3 linked regions of the Rattus norvegicus genome follow. The protein of the gene in region 1 purifies or fractionates together with the protein of each later gene. This does not show direct contact. Links are inferred from orthologs where the notes say so. Each region holds a gene or a part of one and is shown in the gene's direction. Other genes may lie near its edges.

The links. The genes of interacting proteins can lie anywhere in the genome.
Region 2: the proteins of Ankrd46 (region 1) and Mgrn1 purify together in Homo sapiens (co-immunoprecipitation; 3 studies listed by BioGRID and IntAct, counting the BioPlex papers as one, with this or other methods). This does not show direct contact. The link is inferred for Rattus norvegicus from reciprocal best matches to the Homo sapiens genes ANKRD46 and MGRN1.
Region 3: the proteins of Ankrd46 (region 1) and Atrn purify together in Homo sapiens (co-immunoprecipitation; 3 studies listed by BioGRID and IntAct, with this or other methods). This does not show direct contact. The link is inferred for Rattus norvegicus from reciprocal best matches to the Homo sapiens genes ANKRD46 and ATRN.

The regions. Positions count from the first base shown.
Region 1 is NC_086025.1:69,549,191-69,555,586, reverse strand, and holds the start of Ankrd46 (ankyrin repeat domain-containing protein 46), read left to right. Parts: upstream 1-2,309; 5' UTR 2,310-2,382; exon of another isoform or gene 2,383-2,742; intron 2,743-3,100; 5' UTR 3,101-3,211; intron 3,212-3,230; exon of another isoform or gene 3,231-6,396.
Region 2 is NC_086028.1:11,162,661-11,168,476, reverse strand, and holds part of Mgrn1 (E3 ubiquitin-protein ligase MGRN1), read left to right. Parts: intron 1-582; exon of another isoform or gene 583-683; intron 684-898; coding exon 899-1,016; intron 1,017-3,245; coding exon 3,246-3,312; intron 3,313-3,594; coding exon 3,595-3,644; intron 3,645-3,658; exon of another isoform or gene 3,659-5,015; coding exon of another isoform or gene 5,016-5,021; intron 5,022-5,098; coding exon 5,099-5,146; intron 5,147-5,816. UniProt on the Homo sapiens protein: E3 ubiquitin-protein ligase. Mediates monoubiquitination at multiple sites of TSG101 in the presence of UBE2D1, but not of UBE2G1, nor UBE2H. Plays a role in the regulation of endosome-to-lysosome trafficking.
Region 3 is NC_086021.1:138,645,642-138,651,457, forward strand, and holds part of Atrn (attractin precursor), read left to right. Parts: intron 1-21; coding exon 22-255; intron 256-3,979; coding exon 3,980-4,117; intron 4,118-5,816. UniProt on the Homo sapiens protein: Involved in the initial immune cell clustering during inflammatory response and may regulate chemotactic activity of chemokines. May play a role in melanocortin signaling pathways that regulate energy homeostasis and hair color.

The DNA.
Region 1 (6,396 bases):
ACACAAGCCAAGGTCACAGGCGGGGCCATGTCACCCACATAGGATGGATCGTCCTCCTTCAGTTAATGTAACCGAGGTGATGCTCTCCAGGCCCACCCAAGGCACCTCCTGGGTGACTCGAGATGTCACTCCAGGGAAAGGGGGCTCTGCAGGAGTGAGCATCCAAACAAAGATCCCAAGATGAGGAGATCATTCTGGAGGATCTAAGTGTGTCCCATGAAAGCACAGGGGTGTTGTAAAATAAGGGGGGAAAGTTAGAGAAGATGCTGGCATGAAATCCAGGGGAGAGCAAAGGCAGCACATGGAGGAATGGCTACAAGCTGAGGGACAGAGGGTGCTTTAGAAGCTGAGTAAGTTAGGGAGACTGAGTCCTGAAGACCCTCTAAAAGCAACGTAGCACTTGAAGTTTAGCTGGGTGGAAACTCTGTGGCTGCTGGCCTTCCTGGTGTATAAAATGACTACTGCAATCGCTTAAACAGTTAGATTTGTGGTGGTTTGTTACCATGGCAATATGAAACTGAGGTACAGCCCTCTCCTATACAGACCCCAGCCAAGCCTCGGGAGGGATTCTGGAAGTGTGTTCACAGGAGTTTGGGGAGTTATTCAGCCCCTGCTGATGAAGATCGCTGCCTCTCTTTCTTCAGACTTCCTCAGGAACTCTTCCTGGGGAGTCAGCACCCGGTGGGGCTCAAGTAAGCAAGAGGACAATAGGAGACTCTTTACTTTGCATTTAGGAGGATATAATCTTGTGATTTATGGTCACTCCCACTCAGTATCAGGATATCACTGAGATGTAAAAGCAGCGTCTGTGAAGATGTTCAGTCCCCACCATGTCAAGTACCCAGACATGGGGACAAGGAGTCAGAGGGCACAGGCAACTCGAAGTCCATTTCCTTAGTCTCGTCAGAGGAGGGAAAAAAAGCTGTCTTCACAGTCCTTAAATTTTCCCTGTTGAACGAAGCCATAATTCACGAAAAAGAAAAGATAAATTAGAATACAGGCATTCAATACCCTCTCAAGTTGTTTGATATACCAACCAGGGAAAGATAAATTATATGAATAGAATTACCATTTAAATTACCCAGTGCCTTGACACAGTGGATGGGCATATATGGAGATATTGACTAATTGATTAATGTATCCCCAATTTACAGAATATTTATGATCAGTCACTGTTCAAGTAAATGTTAAATAGCCTAAGATGATTGGCGGCCCTGGGGATTGCTGAGCTCACCCCGCCCTGGTATCTTAGATTCAGTGTATGTACATGTGTGTGTGCGTGAGTGCCTCTGTGTGTGGCCTGTGTCTGTGTGCACATGAGCGCATGCATGCACGAACCCAAGTGTGCAAATACTTATGTGCACTTGTTCATGGAGACCAGAGGTCAGCCTCAGGTGACATACCATAAGAGCCAACCATCTTGGTTTTTTTGAGACAGGACTCTCATTGAGGCCCAGAACTCCATGAGTAGCACAGGCTGTGCTGGCTGGCCAGGGAGACCCCCTGAAATCAGATATCTCCCACGGGCCAGAACCGCACATAGCCAGCATGCTTGGCTTTTTATTCGGATTCTGGGGATTGACCTCAGGTCTTTAAGCTTGCAATGCAAGTCCTTTACCAACTGAGCTATCTCTCCAGCCTTTTTATAATTCTTAAGTGAAGGAAATGTGAGATTTCTTCAAGTCAGGCAATAATCCTAAACACCGATTTGACATTGCGGGGGCAGGGGGGGTGCACGACGGATTTAGACTTAATTCTTGAACAGATGACCTTCTACAGGGTCATCTGGTGGGGTAGATGGTACTAGAACTCAGAGAACAGTGTTTAAAAGAAGTCACCTTGGTTGTATGACTGGAGTTGAGAGAGAGAGAGAGAGAGAGAGAGAGAGAGAGAGAGAGAGAAGCTATGTGAAAGAATGTTCCAGTACATGGGTGTATCATCATTTTCAGGTTTGATTGTACACAAGTCACGATAAGTCAAGGACTTATAAATAAGGCGTAAGCATTCAATCTGAATAATAACTCGGTAGGATCGAATATTAAAGTAGACTTGTAAGCCATGATTTGCTAACAAGTGGATTCAGATCTTCCCTGTAGCCGGAAACAAATTAATGCGCGTGGCACTTAACATATTTGTTTCTGCCTTTTAAATTTCTACTTAGTGGAGTCAATGGGACATGTATTTAGAAAAAGAGGTGAAAGTGCACGATGCTGGTAAGAGGGCGAGCCGCCGCCATGTGAGCCTCCCGCCTGCAGGGGGCGCGCCGTCACGAGGTGCAAGGCCGCTCTGCCCCGCGTGAGCTCCACCTCTGTGGCCGCCAGCGCCCCGCCCTCAGTCACTGGAGAGGAGGAGCTGCTGCCTTCATTGCTCCTTCAGGATCAGGTACCTGGGCCGGGGCTGTGGGCAGCAGCTGGACTGGAGCGAGTGACACCTGCCCTAAGGGCCGTGGAGCCCGGTGCGGGTCCGAGCGGCTTAGCCGCGGGCGATGATGGCGGGAGGGCCTAGGTCAGGCCTGGGAGATTGCACGGAGGATGCCCACGGATATTTCGGAGTCTCCTGGCAGCCCACGCCCCAGCCCTATGGCGACGTCCTTCCCAGGCCGGGATGCAGAGCATAGTTAGGAATTGTCATGTCCTTAGCTGGTCACGAGGAGTCCGCAGCCCTGGCGAGCGTGGGCACTGTGGAGGTCCGTGTGATCTGCCCAGACTGTCACACTGCCCAGGGCATTCTCGGTGAGACAAGGTTTGCACATTTTGTGCTTAGGCCTCAGGCGATCATCAACTTTCATACTTTGACACGCGTCATTAAAAAGCAGTTGGTTTCTCTCCGGAGAAGAAAACATTTATTCTTAACAGCATTCCACAGAATCTCGAATTGGCTGAGGAATGTAGTAAGTGTGTACTATTGAAGAGTAAGGGACACTGCTCACTCTTCAGAATGTGGCATGGTACTTAGGCGCTTCCCAAGGGCGCTCTCAGTGGTATGGTGGTTTTTATGTTGCAGTAGCAACTGGCTGTCTTCATGTCGGATATTGTGCCCACTAATGTGCCCTTTTAAAGTCTTTGCAACAGCCCTCACAAGTACCATCTCTGATTTGCAGATAAACTGAGGCACAGAGTCTAAATTAACCTGTCCAAGGCCAGACAGTTGGCAGAGTAAGTGGAATCAGAGACACACAAGACTTCACGCCAGCACCCTTTACCTTCCAAAGGTAGTGTTTCTTTTTTCTTTCTTTATTTTTTTTTCTTTTCTTTTTTTTTTTTTTTTTTTTTTTTTTGGAGCTGGGGACCAAACCCAGAGCCTTGCGCTCGTTAGGCAAGCGCTCTACCGCTGAGCTAAATCCCCAACCCCAAAGGTAGTGTTTCTTAAGATTTCTGCTTATTCAATCAGAGCTTTCAGGGACTAAGCCACTACCTAAAGACTATACATGGACTGACCCTGGACTCTGACCCCATAGGTAGCAATGAATATCCTAGTAAGAGCACCAGTGGAAGGGGAAGCCCTGGGTCCTGCTAAGACTGAACCCCCAGTGAACTAGTCTATGGGGGGAGGGCGGCAATGGGGGGAGGGTTGGGAGGGGAACACCCATAAGGAAGGGGAGGGGGGAGGGGGATGTTTGCCCGGAAACCGGGAAAGGGAATAACACTCGAAATGTATATAAGAAATACTCAAGTTAATAAAAAAAAATTCATAGTAGTAAATACCTAGGCAATTATTGTGCAAAATATATAGGACTCATAAATTGTACCTCTTGAAGAAAATATACAGAAATAAAGTTAGATAGTGTGGAAGTTTCTCTTCCATACAAAGTTTCTTATAATGGTGGAAAAAAAAAAAAGATTTCTGCTTATTGATAAAATTTGTAGCCTGAACTGGTTTCTCTTAGACTTATGCTATGACATTATGCCTGTGCCACTGTCGGTTTACTTTAAAGAGAAGTATGTTTGTTCATTAAGCTTTGTGGTGGTAGTAAGGTTAAATGTCCTGGGTTCTCACTGTTTCAGAATAGGTTGATTTGATGTAGAAGTGTGTCTGTGTTTGTTCGCACATCTTAGCTGTGTGTTCGTTAATTGTATTTTCACAGCAGCTCTATCGAGTGTGCGTTGCACACGCAGCATGGATAGAACTGCCACATGGTGGGTTATGAAGGACTCAGGGCACATTCTGTACAGCAAATGGAGTTGCTGACTGCATGATGAAGGAGTTTCACTGTGAGACTGGGGATGGTTGTTCCCCAATCCCAGAGACTGGGGCTTATAGAGTCTAAGTTCCTTTACTATTGCGGGGACTCCAGTCTAGCATGGTGGAGAAGGGACGGCGGCAGGGACATGAAGCAGCTAGTCGCACTGTAGCCGTGCAAGCCACTTTACCCGAGCAGAGGGCAGAGACTCAGCCCTGTGCTCCGCTCCATCTTCTCCATTTTGCCCTTGCTCCTGAAACAGTGCTGCCCACTGTGGGCCTTTCCACTCCAGCTGACCCAGTGGAGGAGCACTTCCTCGCCGAGACTCCCTTCTCAGGTGCTTCCTTGTGTCAAGCCAGCCACCACTGAGTCCCAATTTGCTTAGCTACATTAGGATTTAGCATAGAATTTAAGAGTTGCGTTGTCAAGAGCTGCCTGTGACATGGGGGCACAAGCCTTTAACACCAGTACTCAGGAGGTAGGGGCAGAGAGATCTCTGTGACTTAGAGGCTAGCCTGGTCTACATAGAGAGTTCCAGGACAGCCAGGGCTGTTACACAGAGAAATCCCGTCTTGTACTAACCACCCCCACCCCCCCAGAAAAAAAAAAAAAAGAATTGCATGGTCAGGGTTCATGCAGCAGCCCCACATCCTGTTTTTCATGGTGGGGCAATTCTAAGAACCAGGGGTGACCCAAGTCCTGATCTAATGGAGCTAACTTTCCCTTGCAGGAAGATGGCGACAATAAAATTATTTGCTTAAAAGTGGAAATAAATCCAGTTAATGGTAATGATTACTAAGAAAAAATCTAAAGCGAGGCTGTGGTAGGACATACTGGGAAAGGGACTTACAGTTTTGCAGTAAGAAATCGTGTCCGAGAGAATGTGCTGAAGTGACAGTGTGGCCATGCAGGGCCGCCCTCCAGCTGTCAGGGGAAAAGTATACAGCAATCACAGAAACCTAGAGAACACCAGCCTGTTGGAGACTAACAAGGAGCCACAGGCTTGAGCAGAGGGCAGAAGGGAGGAATGAAGCCAGAAGCCTAGTGGATGCTAGTAAGGGTCTACATAGGAAGGAGGAGGTGGACAGAGTGATTTGATCAGAAGAGCAGCAGGACCTGACTTAACGTGTTCAGGCTGACTGTAATTCCAAAGATGGGTCAGAGAGAAGGAAGTACCATAGCCCTTCACTGTTCCCGAGGATATAATCCAAGACCTCCAAGAATGTCTGGAACCTTGGATAGTACCAGGTCCTTTATATGAGGTGCTATTTCCCCTTATATGCTTGTACATGATAAAATTACTTAACAGGGGACACTGAAATTTAGCCCCAGCACGGGGAACCAGGCCTCCATTACCTGAGCCTTTGGGGGACACTTCCTATCCAGACCATAGTAGGTATGGCTAAAGGCATTGAGACTGCGTGACTAAGGAACTGAACGTTGATGTGACTGAGAGAGAACATTAAAGGACATAAGGAGAAACTGGAATAGTTGAGGGAAAGGGGTAAGAGTGGAGTGCAGGGAGAAAGGGACTGGCTGTGTTACCCGCTCACTGGATGAGCCCCACGATGGACGTGAGAGTGGCAGGTGACAAGATGGTCGTAAGAACAAGGTCGGGTGCTTGCCATAGAACAGAGGCAGGTAAGGCTTTGAGGCGTCACAGCCCTGCTTGAATGGAGTGGAGTGCAAACAGACACAAACAGCAACGTGTTACATGCAAGAGCTGCTTCGCCTGCCGTAGTTGAAACCATGTTTGTTTACATTGTAAAGTGATATACCTGGCTGCAGTAACTGCACTCTGCAGCTCTCAGCATTCTTCTGGGATTCATAGATAATTGTTTAAAGTCTCTCATCTAAATTAGCACTTTAGTGAGCTACAAGAAGAGTGATATGGGAAGTAAGGAGAAGGAGTGAATTGGAGCAGAAGCCTGTGGTAATGGAATAGGAAATGAGTAACCAGGGATCGGAGTGTGTTCTGAGTAAGAGCAGTGGGGAGGACCGTGTCAGACGCTGGCCTTGAAGCTGGCTGAAGAGCCTTAGCAACAGTTGTGCCCAAAGATTTCTCCCTGTGTGGCCCCTAAAGGCCACAGCAGAGACTGAAGGATATAAAAGAAATATCCACACGGTGAGGGAATGGGGACTCTGGACGGTCAGAGGTGCATTAGGATCAGGGGGTGGGACTTGAAGTCCAGGAAGGGCAGCTAAGATGGTGGTGC
Region 2 (5,816 bases), on another chromosome or scaffold:
AATTTTTTGTCAAGAAATTTGAAGTAGAATGGTTCTGGGGTTCTACAGCATATAATTGAAGCCCAAGTACTGAGATTCCTGTCCTGGGCTTTTCACTACATATAGGCTGGACCTCCCTGTGGGGCTCCCTCCCATACTGGCACTGATAGTCGGGACAGCAGGGACGTCACCCAGCTTCCCAGGCTGAGTGTGGCCTTTGTCCTAGAGACCCAGAGAAGCCCTGGGACAGTAAGCATGGGTTGGGGGTGGGAACAGCAAGGGGCATGGCTTTTGTTCATGAATGGGGACACGGGCTCAACGCTCTCATTTTCTGATGGTCAGCCTGGCATGAGACGGACTTCTGCATAAGGAAAAGGATGGTCCTGGAAGCATTGTGGGGACTGGCAAGACAGGAGGCTAGTCTCTGAGTCACTAGAGCAAAGCTTCAGTGGACCAGCATGGCTCAGGGAACATCACACTCTCAGAACATGACTCACATTGAAGCGAAGGCCTCACGCTCTGTGGGAATGCCTGAGAAGCAGGCAGCGAGGAGCAAGAATTGGCACAGGGAGTACTGCACCATGATTATTCAGAAAAAGCAAATGCACCAAACACCAGTGGGCTTGTTCTTCCCGTGCAGAAGCAGCAGAGATATCAGGCTGGTTGGGCCCTGGAAGAACTAGCCACTTGGTGTGACTGGGCAGCCTCGTGGTGAGCAGAGCTGGCAGTGGCAGGCTCTTGGAAAAGCAAGGGCCACTTGGCTAAGCTGACTGCTTCCTGTTTCTGTCTGGGATGGCTGAAGCTCTCAGTCCCTATAGAAAAAATGGCTGCTGGTTCAGAGGAGTAACATTGGAGATGGGATGCTGGGTTGGGGGTCCATGGCTCCACAGGAGTCAGGTGGCTGCCTTGCTGCCCTCAGGTACAGCTGTAAGAACCCTTCTCTGCAATCTGAGACTGTCCATTACAAGAGAGGCGTTAGCCAGCAGTTCTCCCTGCCTTCTTTCAAGATTGACTTCTCCGAGTGGAAGGATGATGAGGTAACCCTGGGGAATTCGGGAACTCGAGTGGTGCACAGACATACCTGCAGGTCAAACACCCATGCACATAAAATGTGAAAATAAAAACAAAACAAGCAGCGTCCTCTAGCTCCCTCTGGTGGTGGGTGTGTGTCCTCTTCCACTGTCATTTGTCCTGGGCTACTCAGAGGACAGGATTGCAGTCACTGCACACCTTCTGCAGCCACTGGTTCTGTGCTGAGTTCACTTAGTGCAGCTGGCTTGTTCCAGGATGCGGAGTGCAGCTGAGAAGAGCACGAATGCTTGGGGCTACTCGGAGCATAAGAGACCCCAGTGCATTCAGGCTTGCGCTCTGTCAGCTTCCAGCCTGGCATGGGCATGCGGCTCTGCTCTTGTAGCTAGCTTACCTGACTAACAGACACTTCCTACATGAGAGGCTCTTCTTGGTCTTAGTTTATGATCTTGTAGGGTCAGCATGCTGCCAACGTCAGCATCAGCAGGAGCACTCCGGAGTGGCTCCTCTGAAGAGACCGCATGCCAGAGCAAGGCAGTCACCCAGGAAGGTCATTCGCTTTCTTACATCCCAGTTTGTGAGGAGTGCTGTTCTGGGTGATGTACCCATCCTGTGGCTTCACAGTGTTCTACCCAGCCTGGTGCTGTGACTGCCCACATGGCCATCTGCTGCTACCTCCTCTACTGCCTGTATCCTACTTCCAAACACAAAAGGAACCGTGTGGAGTGAAGCATGTTGTCCCAGGCATTGTGCTCAGCCTTGCACTTAGACTGGCCTGTTCCTCTAGAGATGAGAATCAGGCTCAGTTGAGTTTGTTCACAGTGAATGAGCACAGGGCCGAGCTGGAAGCCAGTGCTCCGAGTGTGATGAAATGCCATACAAGGCAGCCTTTAAAGGATGCCTTTAATTGGGGGCTTACCTACAGGGTGAGTCTGTGACCATCATGGTGGGAGCATGGCAGGCAGGCATGGCGCTGGGGCAGGAGGTGAGAGCTCATATTTTGTGAAGAGTCGCAGCCAGAAAGAGACTGGGAGGGTATGGGCTTTTGTTTGTTTTTGTTTTGTTTCGGGGGATGTTGATTTTTGAGACAGGTTTTCTCTTTGTAACAGCCCTGGCTGCCCTGGAACTCACTTTGTAGACCAGGATGGTCTTGAACTTACAGAGATCCACCTTCCAAGTACTGGGATTAAAGGCTAGTGCCACCACTGCCTGGCTTGCTTTTGGTATTCAGGCAGTCTTTGTGTGTGTGTGTGTGTGTGTGTGTGTGTGTGTGTGTGTGTGTGTGTGTGTGTGTGTGTGTGTATGTGTGTGTGTATGTGTGTGTGTGTAAGTTAACATTGAACTCACAGAGATCTGCCTGCCTGGGATTAATGGTATGCACTACTGTTGTTTAAGACAGGGTTTCACTGATGAGCTCACCACTCTTCTGCCTCTGCTTCCTGAGTAACTGAAGTCAGCGGTGTGCACTGCTATATCTGGCCCATTGACCACTCTTCCAGTAACTCCTTAGTGAGAATAAATGGAAATGTCTGCTTCCCTGAGATACCAGAGGGCTCTAGAGGCTGGACAGGCTGAACTTTGCAGGGTTAGGGCCAGGGGTTCCAGGATAGTAGGTCTTTGTGAAGTGATGGGGACCTGTTCTGTCACAGGCTGCTGTGTGGGGTTGGGTGTGGGAGGAAGGCAGCTGCTGGCCTAGAAAGGGAAGCATGGGCCAAGTGGTCTCTAACTCACTGTTGCTCTCATTCCGTCTCTGGTGGGGCTTAAGCCAGACACGTTCCATCAAGCAGTTACCTAATAAAATTTCACCCAAAGCAGGAGACTGGGTGTCAGCACTGTTCACAGTGTTCACAATGTCAAAACCATGGATCCACAACTTATGAATAGACAATGTGGCTTACCCACCGCCTAGAATAACTGCAACACAAAAAGGGAATGGGACTGTGGGAATTGTGACTGAACTTAGAAAGCGTGCTCAATAAAAAAGCTAGGCATAAAAAGGTAGACACTAAACAGTTCACCGTAGGAACTGTCCAGAGAGGCACACCCACAGTTCTGGAAGGCACGCAAGTAGCTGTCAAGGATGGAGAAGATGGCCTTTCTGTTTGGAGAGCCAGTCGGGAGCCATGTGGTCTAGTGGTCCAATGGCACTGAGTGTCCTTGATTCCCTCGGTCTGCTCCAGTTCGAGCTGACCAGCTCACTACCTGTGGACCTGACCATTTCTGCTTTCTTTCTGAAGCTGAACTTTGACCTGGACCGGGGTGTGTTTCCAGTAGTCATCCAGGCTGTGGTGGATGAAGGAGATGGTGAGCATTGCTGGTCTTTCCTCATCTTCATTGTCAACTGTGTAGGACCTGTGGGGGGAAGTGGCTTCCTTCTTCCTGAGTCATCAAAGGACCCCTCTTCTGGAAACTGTGTCCGTCATAGCTCACATGCAGGTTCATTGCCGTGCGACAGCTTGAGAAGTGGGTGCTGGATGAGGACAAGGATAGGAGTAGACTCTGGGCTCTGCCAGTGCTGTAGGGAAAGGGAAAAAGTCCCAGCCATGACCTCACACTGGCCTCCCCTCTCTTATTTCACTGCTTTAGTTGTGGAAGTGACTGGCCACGCTCATGTGCTCTTGGCTGCCTTTGAGAAGGTAAGTGCCATCCTGGCCACCACCCTGTCTCCTGGGAACTGGGGCAGGCAGTGGTGAGGCAGAATGTTGTAGACAAAAACCAGCTCCATCGGACCTTCAAGAACCTGCCAGCACAAGCTAGGGTGCCAACATGGAAACCCTACTACAGACTAACTTTCCCTCCGCCAGCCACCATCTTTTCCCACCAGGTTCAGTATCCTCAGGTGCCACCAGGCACTGGTCTCAGCCTTGCCTGAGGTGTGTGTCTACCTCACCCCTCCTGCTAGCTGCAGCTTGTAGTCCAGGTAGGGCTGGGCAGATTTCCATCCCCATAGGAGGCCTTCCTGGTCCCTCAGAACAACTGTTAATGTTATTATGTGTGTCAGGGCAGGAGGGGCTGACTGGTGGGTAAGGGTCTGCTGCCTGCTGGAACAGCCTCTGGCCTGTATACATACACACTCTCCTGCTTGTGGGAGGTGTGGGCGGGGTCCACTCCCCAGGCCTTTGTCATTCCTTAGTTAGCAGCTAAAAACAGCACCAGGCTGGAGCCCAGGTTACAAGGATCCCAACAACGGACTGGATTACTTGGGAGGTCCCCATGGCTCATTTTCTGCTGACTCATCCTGAGTCCTGCTGACTTGGGGTCCTTTACCAAGGTTTGCATGCTTTCAGTGCCGAGCCCGTTCCTACTGTGACCCAGGTCTCTGGACCACTCTGGGGTCTTCAGAGCTTTGCCAGCCTGCTCTGTGGGAAGCCTTGGGATGCTCTTTTGGGGCAGAAGTGCAGTTGACATGAGCGAGCTGGCCCTCACCTCCTGAGCACCCCATGTTTGGGAGAAGTGCTCACAACAGGATCTGGTGAGACCAATGGGCTGTCCCTCACAGGTTTCCATTCAGTGCTTGCATGGAAAGCTAAGTAAGAAACTTTGTTTTGTAGTATGACATTCTAGAGATTTCCATTAGTATCTACGACCCTGAGTGCTGGTTTTAGTTGACTCCGTGTAATTGGTGTCATTTCAAAATTTCCACTCTAAACCCTGATAAACCTTCCCAACTCTGAGAGCTCTGCTTCCCTAGATATCACTAAGCACACTTGTTTATCCCACTTTGTTCTTTATTTTTAGCTCTCTGAGTGTGTTTTGTGTCATCTTCCTGACTAAGCCATGCTCAAGAATTTTTGTGTATTCACGCTTGCTTCTGGGTAGCAGGAAGTGCCTTGCCAAGATCAGAGTGTAGCTGAGTGGCTTCAGTTTGCGCATGCTGAGACCCACTCAGGATAGTTGGGTTCTCCAGGGATGTTTGACGGTGCTCCAGGTACTGTAGAAGGCAGGCATGCAGTCACAGATGAGGTCATTGTGGCCTGGTTCCTGTCTTCACCCTTTTATTGTCAGCCATGAACGTAGGTTGGCCTTCATCGGTCTGGACAAGAGTGCAGGGAGGGGCTGGTTTGAGAGTAACTGTGTCTCTCTCCTGCAGCACGTGGATGGCAGCTTCTCCGTGAAGCCATTAAAGCAGAAGCAAATTGTAAGTGCCAGATAACACGGGCCTTTGGGTTGCAAAACACACATAATGCAGCTGTGAACACATGCCTGGTCTCCATGGCTGTTCCTTCTGGACATGAAGGAGCTGCTTTCCTGAGTCTGCCCTGTTGTGCTCTGGGATATTGGGGTCTGTGCTTTGTGTGTGGTGGTTACATAGCTACTTGATGCTACAGCAACTGTGTAGGTGCCTGAGTCCTGCCTATCGTGAACCATGGTGCGTGGGTTGCAGTTAGTTCTTGGTGAGTGTTTGCTAAATGAGTGGGTGGAGGAACTAAGGAAAAACGGGAAGCAGAAATATGGCAGCTGCCTCTTGCTTACAAATTACTGGAAATAGAGCAGCATTGGGTAAAGACTTGAATGAACCATGTCAGCACCTCACACGGGAGGAACTCCAGGGTATAGGGGAGACTTGGGATAGCATTTTATGTTTTGTGTTATTACATAAGGCAGTTATTCTGTTTGAGACCTTTATCATGAGACTGACTGATAAGCAGGAGTTTGTGTTCCAAGGCTGTGGTGAGGTTGTGCTAGCTACTCAGATACCAGAGATCAGTTTAAAGTTACAGGGTGGGATAGAGTTTATTAGCCTTTAAAGGAGAGACAGAGTGAATTCTTCCTGGTAGGTTCAGATCCTAATGATACTAGGTAGGCAG
Region 3 (5,816 bases), on another chromosome or scaffold:
TTTTGTTTTATTTTTTAATAGCTGAAAATTGCTCTGGCTACTGTACCTGCAGCCATTGCTTGGAGCAGCCAGGCTGTGGTTGGTGTACTGATCCTAGCAATACTGGGAAAGGCAAATGTATTGAGGGAAGCTATAAAGGACCCGTGAAGATGCCTTCACATGCCTCTACAGGAAATGTGTACCCACAGCCCCTTCTGAACTCCAGCATGTGTCTAGAGGACAGCAGATACAACTGGTCTTTTATTCACTGTCCAGGTAAGATGCCTGTGTATCCTAGTTCAAATCTCTTACTATCTGTTTATAAAGAATAGACCTTGACATAAACTAGAAGCCCAGATCCCTAGACCATTTTTGATTAGGTCACTTGTTTTCTTCACTGTGTTTGAGTTCTTTCTATGTTCTGCATCCCTCTGTTGGATGTGTAGCTGACAAAGATGCTCTTCGTCCTGCTTTTCTTTACTTGATTGATGGTCTCCTTTGTTGCACAGAAGTGTTTTAACTTTATGAAGTCCCCTTTGCCAGTTGTCCTTAATTCCTGAGCAAGTGGAGTCCTCATAAAAAGTCCTTTCCTACACTTGTATCATGTATGGTACTGCCTGTGTTTTATTCTAGAAGTTTCAGTGGTTTGGGTTATATCTTTGATCCATTTGGGTCAGGTTTTATGAAAGGTGATAGATACAGATCTCTTTCATTCCTTCCTCTGTATTCAGACATCCAGTTTTCCCAGCACCGCTTTTGAAGATACTGTCTTTTCTACAGGGTTTGTTTTGTTTTGTTTTGTTTTGTTTTGTTTTGTTGCCTTTTCATAAATACCAGATGCCTGTAGCTATGAGTACTTAGTTAGGCTTGGCTTTTCTGTTTTATTCTGTTGGTTTGCATGTCTGTTTTGTACAGTACCATATTGTTTGAATTACTGTGGTCTGTGATAGGTCTTGATCTCCGATGGCAATCCCTGCAGTTTTAATCCTTCTGCTCAGCATTGCTTTGGCCTTCCTGGGCTCTTTTCTGGTTCCATGTGAATTTAGGATTTTGTTTTCTATTTCTGAGAAGAATTGTTGGTATTTTGATTGCAATTGAATCTGTAAATTGCTTTTGGTAGAATGGTTATTTTCACAGTATTAACTTTACTGATCCATGAACATAGGATGACTCCATTTTCTAGTACCTCTCTATATCCCTCTCTTAAATCTCTTAAAGAGATTTTGGGGTCTTCATTGTAGAAGCCCTTTGGTTAAGTTTATTTCTAGATATTGCATTGTCTTTGGTGTTAGACATGGTAGTATGTCCATGATCTTGTTCTCAGTGTTTTTTAGTTTAATTCGTTTTAATTTACGTGTATAAGTGTTTGTTGGAACATGTGTATGTATATCATATGCATCATGCCCTCTGGGCATCAGATCCCCGGGGACTGGATTTGTGGATAGCTCTGAGCTGCCTGTAGATGCTAGAATTGAAGCCAGGTGCTCCTACCTACTGATCCAACTCCTCAGCCCCAAACTACTAAGTTTTGAGAGCTGATTTTGTACTCTGCCACTCTGCTGACATTGTTGATTGTTTTTAAAAGTCTAGTGATAGAGTTTTTGAGATTTCTTATATATCTTATATAATCTGTAAATAGGGATAAATTGACTTCTTCTTTTCCTATTTGTATCCCTTTATTTCTTTCATTTGCCTTGTTATTCCAGCTAATGCTTCCAGCACAATATTGAAAAGGAGTGGTGACTGTGAACAGCCTGGCCTTGTTTCTTATTTTAATGGGATTAGTCAGCGTTTTCCCCATTTAAGATAGTGTTGGTTATGGGTTTGTCATACACAGCCCTTATTATATTGAGGTATGTTCGCTCCAGTCCTGTTCTCTCTAGGACTTTTATCAGGAAAGCATGTTGGGTATTTTACAAGCCCTTTCTACATCTATTGAGATGGGCATGTGATTTCATCTTTAAGTCTGTTTATATTATGTGTTGTATTTATTGACTTATGTATGTTGAGCCAACCTGGAGTTCTGGGATAAAGCCCACATGCTTTTGTGGGTGATCTCTGTGCTATGTGCGTATAGTGTGTCTGTTATTGTTTTATCAAGGACTTCTGCATCCATGTTCATCAGTGGTAGTACTGTCGATAGTTTGCTTATTTTTGCTGTTTTTACTGACTGTGCATATTAGAGTAGTTCTGGCTTCATAGGACGAATTTGGGAGTAATCTCTCTGTTTATTTTCTTTAAATAATTTAAGAATGAGTGGTTGTTGTCTGGTAGAATTCTGCTGAGAACCCATGTGGTTCTGGACTCTATTTGGAAGACTTTGTATTACTGTTTCAGTCTCCTTGTTTGTGATGGTCTGTTTAGTCTGCTAGTCTCCTTATGATTTAACTTTGGTCATTTGGATGAATCAAGAAATTAATCCATCCCTTTTAGATTTCCAACTAAATGGAATATGAGTTTTAAAGTATTTCTTCATAGCATTTTATATTTCTTTGGCATCTGTTGTAAGATTTCCCCGTTCACCCTCTTAATCTCTCTTTATTGTGGCTAGTTAGTCTCTTGGTCTTCTTATCTTTTTAAAGAACCAGTTCTTAGATTCATTAATTCTTTGTATTATTTTCTTTGTTCCTTTTTCACTGATTTTTATTATTTCTTGCCATCTACTGGGTTTGGGTTGGGTTTAGTTCTTACTTTTCCAAAATTTTCAGTTTTATCACTAAGTCACTCATCTGCGTTCTTGTGGATTTCTTGACCAGAGCCCACCTGGGACTGTCACCTTCCCCCTTTAGACGACCTGGTCCCAGGGATTTGTTGTGTTGTCTTTTCGGTTTAATTTAGCTCCAGGAATATTTTGATTTCTTCATTGACCCATTCATCATTCAGCAATGAGTTGTTTAATCTCTAGTGAGTTTATACATTTATTAGAATTTTGTTTACTGATGATTTTAAGGTGGTTTGTTGTTGTTTATTTTTTTAAGACAAGGTTTCTCTGTGTTGTAGCTCTGTCTGTTCTAGAACTTTCTTTCTGTAGACCAGTCTGACCTCAAATTCACAGAGATCCACCTGCCTCTGGCACTGAAGTGCTGGGATTAAAGGCATGTGCCACCACCACCTGACTGATTTTGTTTTATTACATAATGGTACAGAGCTCTTTCTACATTACATGCTTGTGTGTCAGCATGTAATGCTATGTGCTGCTGAGGGAATGTATGTTGTTTTGACATAGGTAGAAAAGTCTGTAGATATCTGTTTGGTTCATTTTACATAAGAAATCATTTAATGCTGAAGTTTCTCTGCTTATTTTTTTTCCAGATGACTTACCTATTGGAGAAAATAGGGTGCTAAAATGATTTACTATTATTGTGTTTTTTTTTTAAGGAAAAGAAAATAATTAAAAACCCCGGAAAGAAAGATACCAAATGTGAATCATGTTTCCTAGGTAGTGGGATTATGTTTGATTATTTTTTCCTCATCTCTATATTACTATATTATTCAAAGTACCATGAGTTTCTACAATGAATAACAACAAAAAGTATTCTTATATTCCTTTGGACTTTCACCTTGCTTTGATAATATATTTGGTTTTTCAAAACTAATTTGTTTTTTATTTTCTCATAATAGTTTTTAGTGAACCTTGGTGTTTTGTTTTGTTTGTAGTTTTTAGACTGGCCACAAACTTGCTATGTTGCCTTAAAATCCACACCCAGTGCTTTTTCCTCTCTTTCTTTATTTTTATTTATTGAAACAAAATTTTTAGATGGGCATCTCACTGTGTTACCCAGGCTGACCTGAAACTTCTGGGCTTAAGCAAAACAGGTCCACAGGATCAGAAGCCCTGTGCTGCCTGCCTCAGCTCCTGCTAGCTGGAACTATAGGCACAGGCAGTTGTGCTTTACTCGTTTTCATGATTTAACATTTAGATCATACAAATAAATATGAAATTTATTCACCTAGTTCTTCTATGAGAGAAACAGATCCCTTAAGATCCTTTGCCTTTCAGCTTGCCAGTGCAATGGACACAGCAAGTGCATCAACCAGAGCATCTGTGAGAAGTGTGAGGACCTGACCACAGGCAAGCACTGCGAGACCTGCATATCTGGCTTCTATGGTGACCCGACTAATGGAGGCAAATGTCAGCGTAAGTCACACAGGTCAAGTTAGTCACAAGTCAGGTGCAGCAGCACAGTACCTGCGTTTGACTTAAATATCTTAAAGGGGAAGGTCTCTTGGTTTGGGATACTGCCTTTCTTAATTATGTTAAATTGTTGGGGCTGGAAAAATGGCTCAGTGGTTAATAACACTGACTGTTCTTTTAGAGGACCCAGGTTCAATTCCTAGCACCTATATGGCAGCTTACAAGTGCTGATAACACCTGGGATCCAACACTCATACAGACATACATGCAGGGAAAACACTATTGTACATAAAATAAATAAATTAAAAAGAGTTTGACTGTGCTGGAAGAGGAAATAAAGCTCAACTTATGTGCTTGGGAGCAGTTAATTAAAGCAACAAACCAGCAGTAAAGGAGCTAAGCTTTTATTACATTCAGCAGAGGCATAAAAAGGGGCTAAAGTCACAGAAGGCACCAACTGCCTTTGTCCCATTCCCCTCCCATGGAAGCACAGCAGCTCAAGTCAAGCAGAACAGCCTGGAATGGGTGGCCATCTCATTGTGGAGGGAGCCAGGACAGTTGCATTGTCGGGGGAGGGAGGAAAAGACTGGGAATAGAAGTCCTGAGCACTCAGTCAGAATGAGGACACAATCTTCAGTTTCCTTCTTCCTCCATAAAGAGGTTTCTCAGAGGCCTCTAAAGAAGTCTTCTACTGGAAGCCTCACATGGGAACAGGAGCAAGGGTACATTTGAAAACCATGACAGCCAGGGGAGCCCCCTTCTGAACTGTCCTTCCCCCAGAGACTGCAACACCTGACCGCCCCAGTCTGCAAGGGGCTTGGGGAGGGAAAATGACGACCTGAGGATCCCAGATGAATCTTTAAGGTGGCCTGGGTTTGGGTTTGGTTGGTTGGTTTTTAGACAGGATCTAGGAGAATTGGAGATGGCTTGAATTTCTTGTCCTCATGCCTGATATCCAAATACCCAGCTTCCCACAGGCTCCCATTAAGATTTAGAGCTTCCCCAATCAAGTCTGAAATCTGAAAGCCAGGGGCTACTTTATTAGAACGAGTTGTGTCTTTTTCTATAGTAAGTCACACTTAAGAACAGTTTTTATGGGGTTGGGAATTTAGCTCAGTGGTAGAGCGCTTGCCTAGCAAGTGCAAGGCCCTGGGTTCAGTTCCCAGCTCAAAAAAAAAAGAACAGTTTTTATCTGCTCTAGTTTCCAGATGAAAAATATTATGAATCCTATAGTTAAAAGACCTTTTATGCTCTAATTAAGAAAAGAGTTCTCGGGTTCAGAAAAACCTCAGGACAATATTTTCCTGGCATGCAGGAAGCCCTGGGTCTGATTTCCCGGTACCAGGTGAAAATTGGTGCCGTGAAAGTGCAGCCGTCATCTAGGGAGAGGCGCCTGTAACTCACAAGTGGGGGCAGGTGCTCAGAAGTTCAAGTCCTCAGATCCCACCCTAGAGTCCTTACTGTGGCCCTTCATAGCTGACCCTAAACCATCCGGGAGAAAGTAGTCTGGCTGGATATCTCTACCCTCTCTAGGATATGGTGATTGAGATTAAGGCAGAGCAGTGCTTGATACGTCTGCAACACTTCAAAAATGTAATTACCTGTCTGCTGTCATTTCCCACTAAGTAAAATTTCTTGTTCAGATTGTAAGATATTCAGTACTGTGCCTGAAGAGTACTCATACGTAAAATAAATAAATACA